3 linked regions of the Arabidopsis thaliana genome follow. The protein of the gene in region 2 interacts with the protein of the main gene of each other region in a pairwise test. Each region holds a gene or a part of one and is shown on either strand. Other genes may lie near its edges.

The links.
Region 1: the proteins of HB51 (region 2) and DA1 interact in a two-hybrid assay, tested with the Arabidopsis thaliana proteins (one large-scale study listed by BioGRID).
Region 3: the proteins of HB51 (region 2) and AT5G41030 interact in a two-hybrid assay, tested with the Arabidopsis thaliana proteins (one large-scale study listed by BioGRID).

What each region holds. Positions count from the first base shown.
Region 1 is NC_003070.9:6,660,733-6,664,492, reverse strand, and holds the start of DA1 (DA1), read right to left. Parts: upstream 2,077-3,760; 5' UTR 1,469-2,076; intron 1,207-1,468; 5' UTR 1,167-1,206; coding exon 981-1,166; intron 872-980; coding exon 778-871; intron 671-777; coding exon 442-670; intron 343-441; coding exon 222-342; intron 124-221; coding exon 40-123; intron 1-39. UniProt on the Arabidopsis thaliana protein: Ubiquitin receptor that limits final seed and organ size by restricting the period of cell proliferation. May act maternally to control seed mass. Acts synergistically with DA2 to regulate seed size.
Region 2 is NC_003076.8:1,003,042-1,006,801, reverse strand, and holds HB51 (homeobox 51), read right to left. Parts: upstream 2,021-3,760; 5' UTR 1,818-2,020; coding exon 1,700-1,817; intron 1,148-1,699; coding exon 792-1,147; coding exon of another isoform or gene 684-791; exon of another isoform or gene 663-683; coding exon 429-662; 3' UTR 171-428; downstream 1-170. UniProt on the Arabidopsis thaliana protein: Putative transcription factor.
Region 3 is NC_003076.8:16,426,937-16,430,194, reverse strand, and holds AT5G41030 (TCP family transcription factor), read right to left. Parts: upstream 1,490-3,258; coding exon 758-1,489; 3' UTR 516-757; downstream 1-515. Other genes in the region: AT5G41025 (uncharacterized protein), read right to left, coding at 2,760-3,005, 3,244-3,258; AT5G41020 (myb family transcription factor), read left to right, coding at 2,546-3,258.

The sequences.
Region 1 (3,760 bases), on a different chromosome or scaffold from region 2:
ATGGGCTAAAATGATAGAAAAGGAAAGAGGTTTACGTACAAAGTGGCTGCAGACATCACATTTAGGATGATATCTCTCCCTGTAACAAGCCTTGTGAAAAGGGTAGTTCCCTGATGTTGAAAACTATAGGAAAAAAGGGAAACACATTACAAAAGAAAATCTAAAGGTTAAGTAGAACCAGAAAGCAAATGAAGAGGATATGGAAGAGAGCTTGGTTTCACCTCGTACTCAGAAATCGGCTGACTGCAGCCATAACATCGAAAACATTCTGGATGCCATAGTGAATTAAGGCAATTCAGAAATCTTCCATGGCCAATCTCCATATTACAGCCAGCACAAATCCTATGCAGACAAGTTGTTGACAAGTTATTTGGCTGCTGGACACTAAACTAACACATCGACCAAATTAAGCCAGCTAAATATGATTGGCTATCTAAATACCTGAAATCCATTTGAAAAGTAATAGGTCTTGGATAATAAATATCTCCATTTGCATATACATTTCCTCCTCCATACATATGTCCATTCCCATATAAATCTCCAGCTCCATATGCATTCCCATTATCATATGTACTTCCACTTTTGTGACGGGGTGAATTCCCAACTACCATACTTTCTTGTAGGGCTCTAGCAAGTTGCTCATCTTCATCCACCGGCATCGAGTATTTCCCTGTGTCCATTACTTTTTTTAAAGGAATTGTAGCAAACCGAATCCGATAACAAAACCATGTCTTCATATATCTGTTTTGGCTAAAACAATCCTGAAAATGAACTCACCGCTTATACTTGTCTGTTCTTGATTCTCTTCTAAAAGCGACAATGCAATTGCACGGTCTATGTCTTCATTTTCCTGGTCATTCGATGTATTATCCTAGTAAAGAAAAACCACAAAAGTTGAAATAACAGTACAGACCAGAGCTATGATAAACCGTCAACTATATATGTGGTTCTTTTCACTACTTCATGATCCCCAAACTCACCTCAGATGTAGATGGTTCCTGAGTATGATGAGGTTCATCATTATCAGCATCTGTATCCGCCGCACTAGGCTCATCATCATGTGAAGCAGTCGGATAATTATCGTAATAAACATTGTGATTGTGCTTATTATTCCCAACCCGGAGCCTTTGGTTAGAGCCTTTAAAGATCTTGTTAAACCAACCCATAATGCCTAAATAAAACTATCTGCTCATACGGCAATGCAGCCTGCAAAATCGTCGAATCATCTCTGATTAGCAAAAACCCAAAACAAACTTGTTTCACTTCCAAACATCAAAAGCCACAGAACAATAGCACTTTGAATCTAACAACAATAACTAAACAACCCTAAAACCTGTCACCATTAAGCAAACGAGTTCCAAACGGATTTGTTTTTTGTTTTTTTTTTCAAAAAACCATGAAATTAGAATCCAGACATGGAATTATCAAGTAATTGCAGCTGCAAAGAAGCTAAAGATCGTCCCTTTACCTTGAGAAAATCCTGAATCAGATAAGATCCCAATAAGCTTCACGAAACCCCCACAAAATCCAGAATCACAAAAATGATCTAATCAAGCAAGGGAAGCAGCAAAAGAATCTCAAAAAGGACTCTTTAGTTCTCTCCTTTCTTCAAAATTTGGGGAAGAATCTATAACATGGGGGAAAAAAAAAAAAAAGAGAAAAGAAAAGAAAAAAGGAAATTAAACTTTTTTTATATAAAAGAATGCAACTTTGACAAAATCAATGTCTACTCATACACGAATAAACCCAGAATGTGCTTGAATTCTACGCTAATCCAAAGTCAAAAAATTTGGTGCACTCACAAAAAAAGAATAAAAATCGTATTTTTATTTAATGAGGATCACGAAGAAGAGATCGAGAGTATCGAATATTTTGGAACGAAAAAAACAAAAGAGGAGAAATGAATTAAAAAGTCTTCGTGTCCGAAGTTTTTTGGTCGTTGAGCTTGTTGAGCTCTTCTTCTTCTTCTTCCAGGAAAAAACGTTCCCCACGCTGTGATTTAGAGATAGAAAGAGAATTATAATTATACTATTACGCAATTTAAAAGTCAAATAATTATTTTGTTTTGGCAATTTCTTCCATTTTGCAACGTTTATGCAAATATCTAGATATTTAATATTTAATTATTGCTTCAAGCCTTAAACCAAATCTTCTACAAGTCGTAACGCATTTATCCGGATTGTCGGGTTCTAATTCTAATAAGATTTTATATATTTTTGCTAGAAAACATTAAATATATTTTTTTTATAATTTTCCACTAAATTGTAAAATTATTTATAAATATATATTTTCTTTATTACTAAATGATTTATTTCTAAAAGATTAATCTTTTAAATTTTTCATGCAATATTTATTGGATAATATTAGTGAATTGTAATTTTCTAAAAAAATAGTTAATTATCATTGATTTAGAATAATAGAAAATTGTAAAACACAAAAAATAATAAATTTATAATCAATATTTAATATATATATTTTTTTAATATGTGTGTTTTTCTAAACATCAAACAAAAACGCATAAATACAAGAAAAAATGTATAAATACTAATTAACTGTTTAAACCGTTGTTGTTTCAATTAATTGTCAAGTTATCGAATTTTAGTTGATAGATTTTTTAACCAATACGATAATTAGAATTTGATTTGAACCAAAATCTAGGCTCCCATAACTCACTCACATTTTATTGATATGAAAATAATATTATTTAACTTTTGGCTTTTCAGCGTGATTTGTAATTTTACCAATTGCCAAATAATTCAGCAGAAAGCTAAGAAATGAGAAGAAAAAAAATTGAAAAAGAGAAGTACATATAATGAATTAATGATGTTATTACTTATTCCATATCGAAAAGGTGACAACAAAGGAAAAAAAGTTGAAGAAAAGATTAGGAAAAAGTTGGTGAGGCGTGGTTTTGTTAAAATATTACAAGCAAACACAATTTATTAATTTTATATCATAACTTTAAATTAGAAAGTAAAGTATAGAGGTGAAAAAAGATATGGAAAGGAAATTTGTTGATTTATGCAAAAAGTAAAAGTTCAATCATGTTTACCTTATTGACATATTATAATTTAGCATACACGTACGATATACATTACATGAATTCATAAATTATAAACTACATGTATGAGTGTCAATGTCACAATGTGATATCGTTCATCATCACTTTACAATATTATTAAACGAATAATTTGGTAATTAAGTATGTGAATTTCTTCTTTATACACTCGCGGAAGTTACGGTGACCACGGAAAGTGATAGCTTTTATGGGCTTTCACAGGCCCGTTATTATTTTGAATGTAAAAAAATCGTATCTCGTTTATAGGCTTTATAAGCTCATATATGTAACAAATTTTTACTTCATTATGTTTCTAACCAGTAACCACGACCTTTATATAAACCCGCATACATTACTTAACCACTAGCCGTCTATTGGATCCGACGATTTAGCTATTACTACTATTACATTCTTGAGATAGCTGAGTTTGGGTTTGTCATGAACAAGTTGTTCTTTATGTATGATACAACTTGTATATTACTTCATACCTCATTTTGGTTTGTAATACTGAAATCATTTGAGCCTCGTTCTTTTTTTTACGAAAGCTCTACCAAACCATTCAACTAGTTAGCTTATATTAATTTTCATGTCTTCTGCTTATTTTTAACGTTCAATGAAGTTGCAAATTACCTTATCTCACAAGTTCACACAACACTCATTTTATTTTTTACATACTCCAAGAGAAAGTTAATGGGCCTCGAT
Region 2 (3,760 bases):
TTTTACCAAGCTACAACACACACACACACACACACACACACAAAGCCTAAGCAGCTTTTTTTTGCGTCAAGAGGTCTCAAGTTCGGTGAAGGGAAGCGGAAAATGCTGAGCATCAGTGTCAAGATTTGTACAATCTCGTTTACTCTCGTCATTATTTTGGTTTATAGCTAGTTTTGTTTCGGACATTCGCCAATTCTGAGTGTTCATAGTATAGTTGTTCAACAAAACCAACTCAACAATTTTCAGACTCAATCTCGCATCCAAGAACGTGCCATTTATGTTTTAAGATCGTACAATGAGAGAAAGCTTGTCTTAGTCTATAACACTACTAAAGTCCTAGTCTAAAGCTCTATTTGACACAATCTCTCTCTCTCTCTTTCTCTCGTTCTCTCATTCTCTTTCCCTCTCTCTGAGATCAGCAACATCTATCAGGGGTATGACGGCCAGCCAGAGGAAGCAACCAGCATCGGATTGTTGTATTGACCGTAAACTTGATTCCCTCCGGTGATTTGATTTGCGTTCATATTCTCCGTTCTTGGATGAGCTACCACCACCGATGAAATCTCCACCGTGTCTTCCTCACCGGAAACTTTGATGGTCCCGGCAGAGATTTGCTTCTTGATCAAACCCTGGTCTCTTAGTAAAGCTCTCAGCTTCTTCACCTGCACCACCAATCCAATTTTTTAAGGGGGGCAATCTGATAGAATCAAGACTTTAAGGGATAAATTAAGAAAACGATAATATGTAATTAGATCCCATGATTTTAATTTTGTGCAATATAATACACAAACCTCATCGTGTAACATTTGTTTCTCCCTAGAAACGACGTCGTACTCTTGTCTAAGCGAGTCGTACAACTGCTCAAGCTGCTTCGCCTTCCACCGTGCACGGCGGTTTTGGAACCAAACTGCTATCTGACGTGGCTGCAGACCGAGCTCTCTCGACAGCTTCACCTTCCTGTCTGAATCTAATTTGATCTCTTCTTGAAAACTTCGCTCAAGTGAAGCTAATTGTCCACTCGTTAGTCTCTTCTTTTTTATCATCTCATTGTTGTTGTTCGGAAATCGGTACGCATTCATGATCTTTTCTGATTCCGGTACAGAGATAACCGGTCCGGTTTGTGTATCGCCAGGCGTATATGAATTTCCTGCTGTTAAACATTTTAGCAAACGCCCCGAAAGGATAAAAGGAAATATTTAAACATAGAAGCGCAACAATATAATCATTATACGAAAAAAAAAAAAAAAAAAAAAAAACTTCCAAAAGTATAAGAAGAATAAAATTATGTCCGCAACCATTTTTCTTAGAGTGAACTATACCATAAACGAATCTCAACTTTTCAAAAGTGACGTTTTACCTTTTTGCATTTGGATCCCAAGAAATTGTTTTTGTAGGATCCCAAGAAAAAAGTAAGAAACTTTATTTATAGATATTGTAGACTGAAGATAAGAAAATCTTAGCTTCTCATCAGAAAAGTAACGTTTTAGTTGACATTTGGAATGAAGTTTAGGGACGTCATATTTGAAATTCTTTACATCATTCACAGAAAAAAAAAAACTTCTTGAGAACATTTGCAAGTGGGATAAATAAGGTTTTAAAGTTCATGAATTCGTCAAATATGGAATTAAACACATCTAAAAGTAAAAAAAACGAAAGCATGTAACATATGCAGACTTGGTACGATGGTGTGTGAATATACCTGCGTAAGGATCAAAGTTGAAGCTGTGGAGCGAGTTAAAGGAACTAGACTCCGGCCATGGCGGTGGCATGAAAGCTACTCTCACGTTTTCTACGTTGCTCGTTGTTGACCACTCCATCTCCTTTCTTTCTTTTGTAGTTCTTGTGAATATCTTAATATATATAAGAAGACATGAGAGATGGTCTATAAGGAAGAAAGATATAGGATCTAATACAATGGATAAAAGAAAGAAAAGAAAATTAGGGTTTTATTGGACCACAAGGGAAGGGGTAAGAGAGGCGTGACAAGAAGTTTCTTCTTCTATGTACTTTGTCTTTTGGAGGTGTAACAAAGTGTGAGAGCACGCAGTGTTCGAAACAATACATATATAAATAGGGATATGTATCTAGAGGGAGATATAGAGGTGTAGTGAAAGAGACAGAGTGAAATTGTCTGTGTTGTGTGAGGTTTTTTTCACCTAATAAGGGAGCAACCCAACAGTACCTTTTGTTTTGGAATTTAAAGATTGAAAAGGAAAGTGTGATATAATTTTGTCTCATTTGCACATCATCAATCATCATCCATCATCTCTCTAACATTAATATAGGTTGATATATTTTGTTGTGTCCAAGGGTCAAACTTGGAATTTTTAATTTATTTTCGGGAAACTGTTTTTTCTTTCGTATTAGTTTTTTTATAATATATATACTATCATGACACCTAATCTACTTGTTTATGTCAATATTATCGTTGCGCTTTTTCGATAAACATACAAATTGTAACAATTTATAGTGTTACAGAGTTTGCAAGATGATGTGAACCAACCAAGACAATACATGTTTTAGATTTAAATAAAATTGATTTTGCTACAAAATTAGAGGTTTTGATAATATCATATTTTTTGAAGAAAAAACAAACAATCTTGAGCCTTGTGTGAATGCACCAAATATTCCTTTTGAAAATCTAGTGTAAACCAATAAATGGTAAATCAAAATCTGCATGGATTAATTATATTTGACGGAATTTCTAAACTTGGGACTTTTTAACATTCACATAAATCTACTTGTGGCCTTTAACATTTAAACCACCGTCTTAATTGACTGAATTTTATAAACATGGAAACATAAATGTAGTTGAAAAGAAATTGATGAGATTTTATATATAAATATATTGTAATTTCGTGTAGTAATATAGGTGGGGGTACGTATTTGTCAAAGTTAAGCTTAAATAAGTGAAAGAGAAAGAGTGAAACGAAACTAATGGTCCCCCAAAAACTCCATAAAAACTGACAATGTGGTTCCCCCCTTCTTTGGTTATGCCTTCATTCTTGGTCCTAAGATTTTCAGTTATTGTTTTGTCTTATATATACACCATCTAAATCTACTTATATATATGTGAAAATTAATGTGCAAAAGGTTTGGCACTAGTGGCAAGTCCATACCAATGTATATGTGCAGTAACCTGTATAGAGTATATAGGGTGAGGCCAAAAGCTACCTTTGAAAGCTAAGAATCAACACAGAGAGCTAAGTAGATCATCTATAAATAAAGAGTCTGATATGACCAATAAAAGCCAAAGCAAAGAAGAAGTTTGAAAACTAAGTCTCATTGTCTTCATCTACTGTGTACTCTTTACCCCCACATTCTTTATTAACTTGCAGTTCTACACACAATCTCTCTCCCTATATCTCTCTCTCTCATATTCAATTGCTACTTAACAAATTGTTGATGTGTAAATAGTGTAAGAGATGGAGAGAGAAGGGTAGAGAGGGAAGGAAAGGAATCTTTTTCTATGTTAAAAGTAGATAGGGTTTGAACAGATTGATGATAAGTAATGAGATTTAAAACTAACGACAGTGTATAAGAGAAAAGGGAAGCTTTTAAGCCTAAACCCTTGAAAGAGATGAGACATCACAGTTTTCATAGTGTATAATTTTTTTAAGAATATTTTTATGGTTTTTTTTCGATGATTGCATTCATTGTAAAGGATCCGTTTGATAACAACATTTCATACTCTATTTTCTTAAAAAAATAATATGCAAATTTCACTATTTTAGCTAAGACCCTACGTAAAAAGTCTTCG
Region 3 (3,258 bases), about 15 Mb from region 2:
TCCATCCACATATAATCAGAAAGATTGAGTTTTAATAGTAATGTATATTTGTATTTTTGCATTTGTTATCAACTTTTTTTTAAAATACGGATGGACTTTTAGGCCCTAATCAAATGTTAATGATTTGAGAAGTTTGGTTTCAGATTAGTTCTAGATCGCATTCGAATATTTTTCGGCTTATACTGTCATTGAGGCCCATTTCATTGATTATGGGCTGTTGACACAATACAATAAGAACATCGTACAGTTTCACTGTTCTCGTGGAAGGACGCGGATTGTTTTTCACCCAAGAAAACGTAGCGTAGTCCAAATTCTATCAGCAAGCCAGCTTCTGGGCAAAGAAACAAGATGAATTTCTAACTAAGGCAAAAACTTTCCTTTGTACAACGAAACTCAATCATCAGAGTGTTTGCTTAATTATGCAGAGAAGCCTCCATTCAGTACAGTTTAAAGAGCAGAACTTACTTCTTAACTTTATAAAGTAATCAGTACATCAAAGCTATTGATTAAAGAAAGGTCGAGCAAAATAAACTATGAATGAGCACATTGAGATTTCAGCAAAACCATATTTCATCTTCTCACTTTATGTATGCACAATCTAAAGCAAACGCCAAAAAAGGTTTGAGCTTTAGGAACCATTGTTCTCTTGCTGATCGAAGTAAAATAAGCTATGAATAAGCTATCAAGTTTGAGATTTCACTAGCAATCACATTCTCGCTAAATATATCTAATTAAAAGCCATTTAAAGGTTTGAGCTTTATGAACCATTTTCCTCTGCACTCTGCTGCTGATCTTCATGTGAATGATGATGAAGAACCCTGAACTGTTCTTTACCCATTTGTTGAAAAACCTGTGGATTCAAAACCCCAACTTGAGACAGCCTTAATTCAAGTCCAGGCGTTTGATTATCTCCAAAACCAATCTCTGGAACACCATTGAAATCAAACCCAATTCCGTAATTCAGATCAAACCCTCCAATGGTCTGTCCTGTTTCATTTCTCCACAACCCATTTGCCTCCATTTGAGTCCTTGAAGCTTCTTCAACGCTATGACAAATCATCAAATCAGCCGTGAGAGGAGGTTGAGAAACAACAGACTCAGTGGGTTTGATACCATTTACAGTAGCAGAGAGTATCGATGGCTCAGCATGTTGAAGCAACCATTCAAGAGTCTCACCATCTGATTTGTGACCTAATTCTTTAGTCAATTGATAAATCCTTGCTGCACAGAGTGGAGGTAACCTAACTCTACGACCTCTTCCTTCAACTTTAAGGTGACGATCTTTGTTTGGTTTCTTCTTCTCCTTCTCATAAAGAATCTGAATTTCTTGGTCTTCCTCTTCATTCTCCTTCTTCTTCCTCTTTTCGCCGACCACAATGTCGAAACCTTTAACCTCTGTTTGTTTCCTCTTCTTGTCGTTGTCCTGATTCTGTCGTGATGGGTTTAAGAAACTTGGTAGATTTTGGTTCTTCTTGGGCTCCATGACCATGTCAAGGTGTGGGGACGTACTTCTCTCTCTCTCTCAGATTCAAGGTGGGGCGTGTGTTGTGACCTCTTGACCTAAGTAAAAAAAAAGGGTAACAACTTTTTATTATTTTCACGCATTATTTTATTTTTTTTACATAATTAGAAGTTCTATAATCACGAAATATTCTTACTTACCGAATGAATTCCAATCCAAAGAAAAAAAAAAAAAAAAAAAAATAAAAAAAAAAATTCCAATCCAAAGCTCAATCAAATCAACATGGCAACATCCATGAGAGTTAACAAGGGCAAAATTAAATAATATGAAAACATTAGAAAAATTTAGTTTTGAGCATAAATCACACATTAAAAAGAATTTATTTAAATCAAAAGAGGTTATCAACATCATTAAAAACTAAGTTTTACATTCTTTCATCACTTGATAATAAGGTCAAAACTCAAAACAAACCTTTGTGTTTATGTTTTTTTATATCAGTTTTCGATTATATATGTTTAGTATGTTCTTCAATTGCATCCCTTTGATGAAAACTAGCTTTGTCCCAAATGATCATGTAAGATCCAAACTCCACCACACAAAACATTGAAGTTAATCCAAGAAGATTCTACATTTTTAAATACTTTTCCCAAGGTCTCTTATATACTGATTTATTCTAGTAGTAATTATTTGATTTCTTTTTCTTCCAAATCATTTAGAAATTTCACAATATAACCACCAACTTTGTAAGTTGTAACATAAGTGATAGAAATTAGATCAAACTCTTGTTAAAACTTGATAACGTCAAGAGCAATACGTTGGGCCTAGTAGTACTCAAGCCCCAAATATGGGTAGTGGGTCATTGAAGACCCAAGTTCAAAGGAATTTTTTTTAACAAAAGTAATTAAATACCCTAATCATCTCAAATTCATGAAGGAAGCCGCCGTATCCAAAAGCTCCTTCACAATCAATCTCAGCATCGCTGTGTCTTAAAATCACTCAATCGAAATTCGGATTTAGATTTGAGCGAAAGTCGCGGCGGTTTTTGTGATTAGGGTTTCGTAACCGTGTCCGCCGGTATATGAGATGGCTGAGGAGAAGAAGAATAAGAAGAAAAAGAGTGACGCTAAGGTTGATTCTGAAGAAACCGGTGAAGAATTCATTTCCGAGCACAGTTCTATGAAGGATAAGGAAAAGAAGAGGAAGAAGAATAAGCGAGAGAATAAGGATGGTTTTACTGGAGAAGATATGGAGATAACTGGGCGTGAAAGTGAGAAACTAGGTGATGAGGTTTTTATAGTTAAGAAGAAGAAGAAGTCGAAGAAGCCAATAAGGATTGATTCTGAAGCTGTTGATGCTGTGAAGAAGAAATCGAAAAAGAGAAGTAAGGAGACAAAGGCTGATTCCGAAGCTGAGGATGATGGTGTGGAGAAGAAATCCAAGGAGAAAAGTAAGGAGACAAAGGTTGATTCTGAAGCTCATGATGGTGTGAAGAGGAAGAAGAAGAAGAGCAAGAAAGAATCTGGTGGTGATGTGATAGAAAATACTGAAAGCTCCAAAGTATCTGATAAGAAAAAGGGAAAAAGAAAGCGGGATGATACTGATTTGGGAGCTGAAGAAAACATAGACAAGGAGGTGAAGAGGAAGAACAACAAGAAGAAACCAAGTGTGGATTCAGATGTTGAAGATATCAATTTGGACTCTACAAATGATGGAAAGAAGAAAAGGAAGAAAAAGAAACAAAGTGAGGATTCAGAGACTGAAGAAAACGGCTTGAACTCTACCAAAGACGCAAAGAA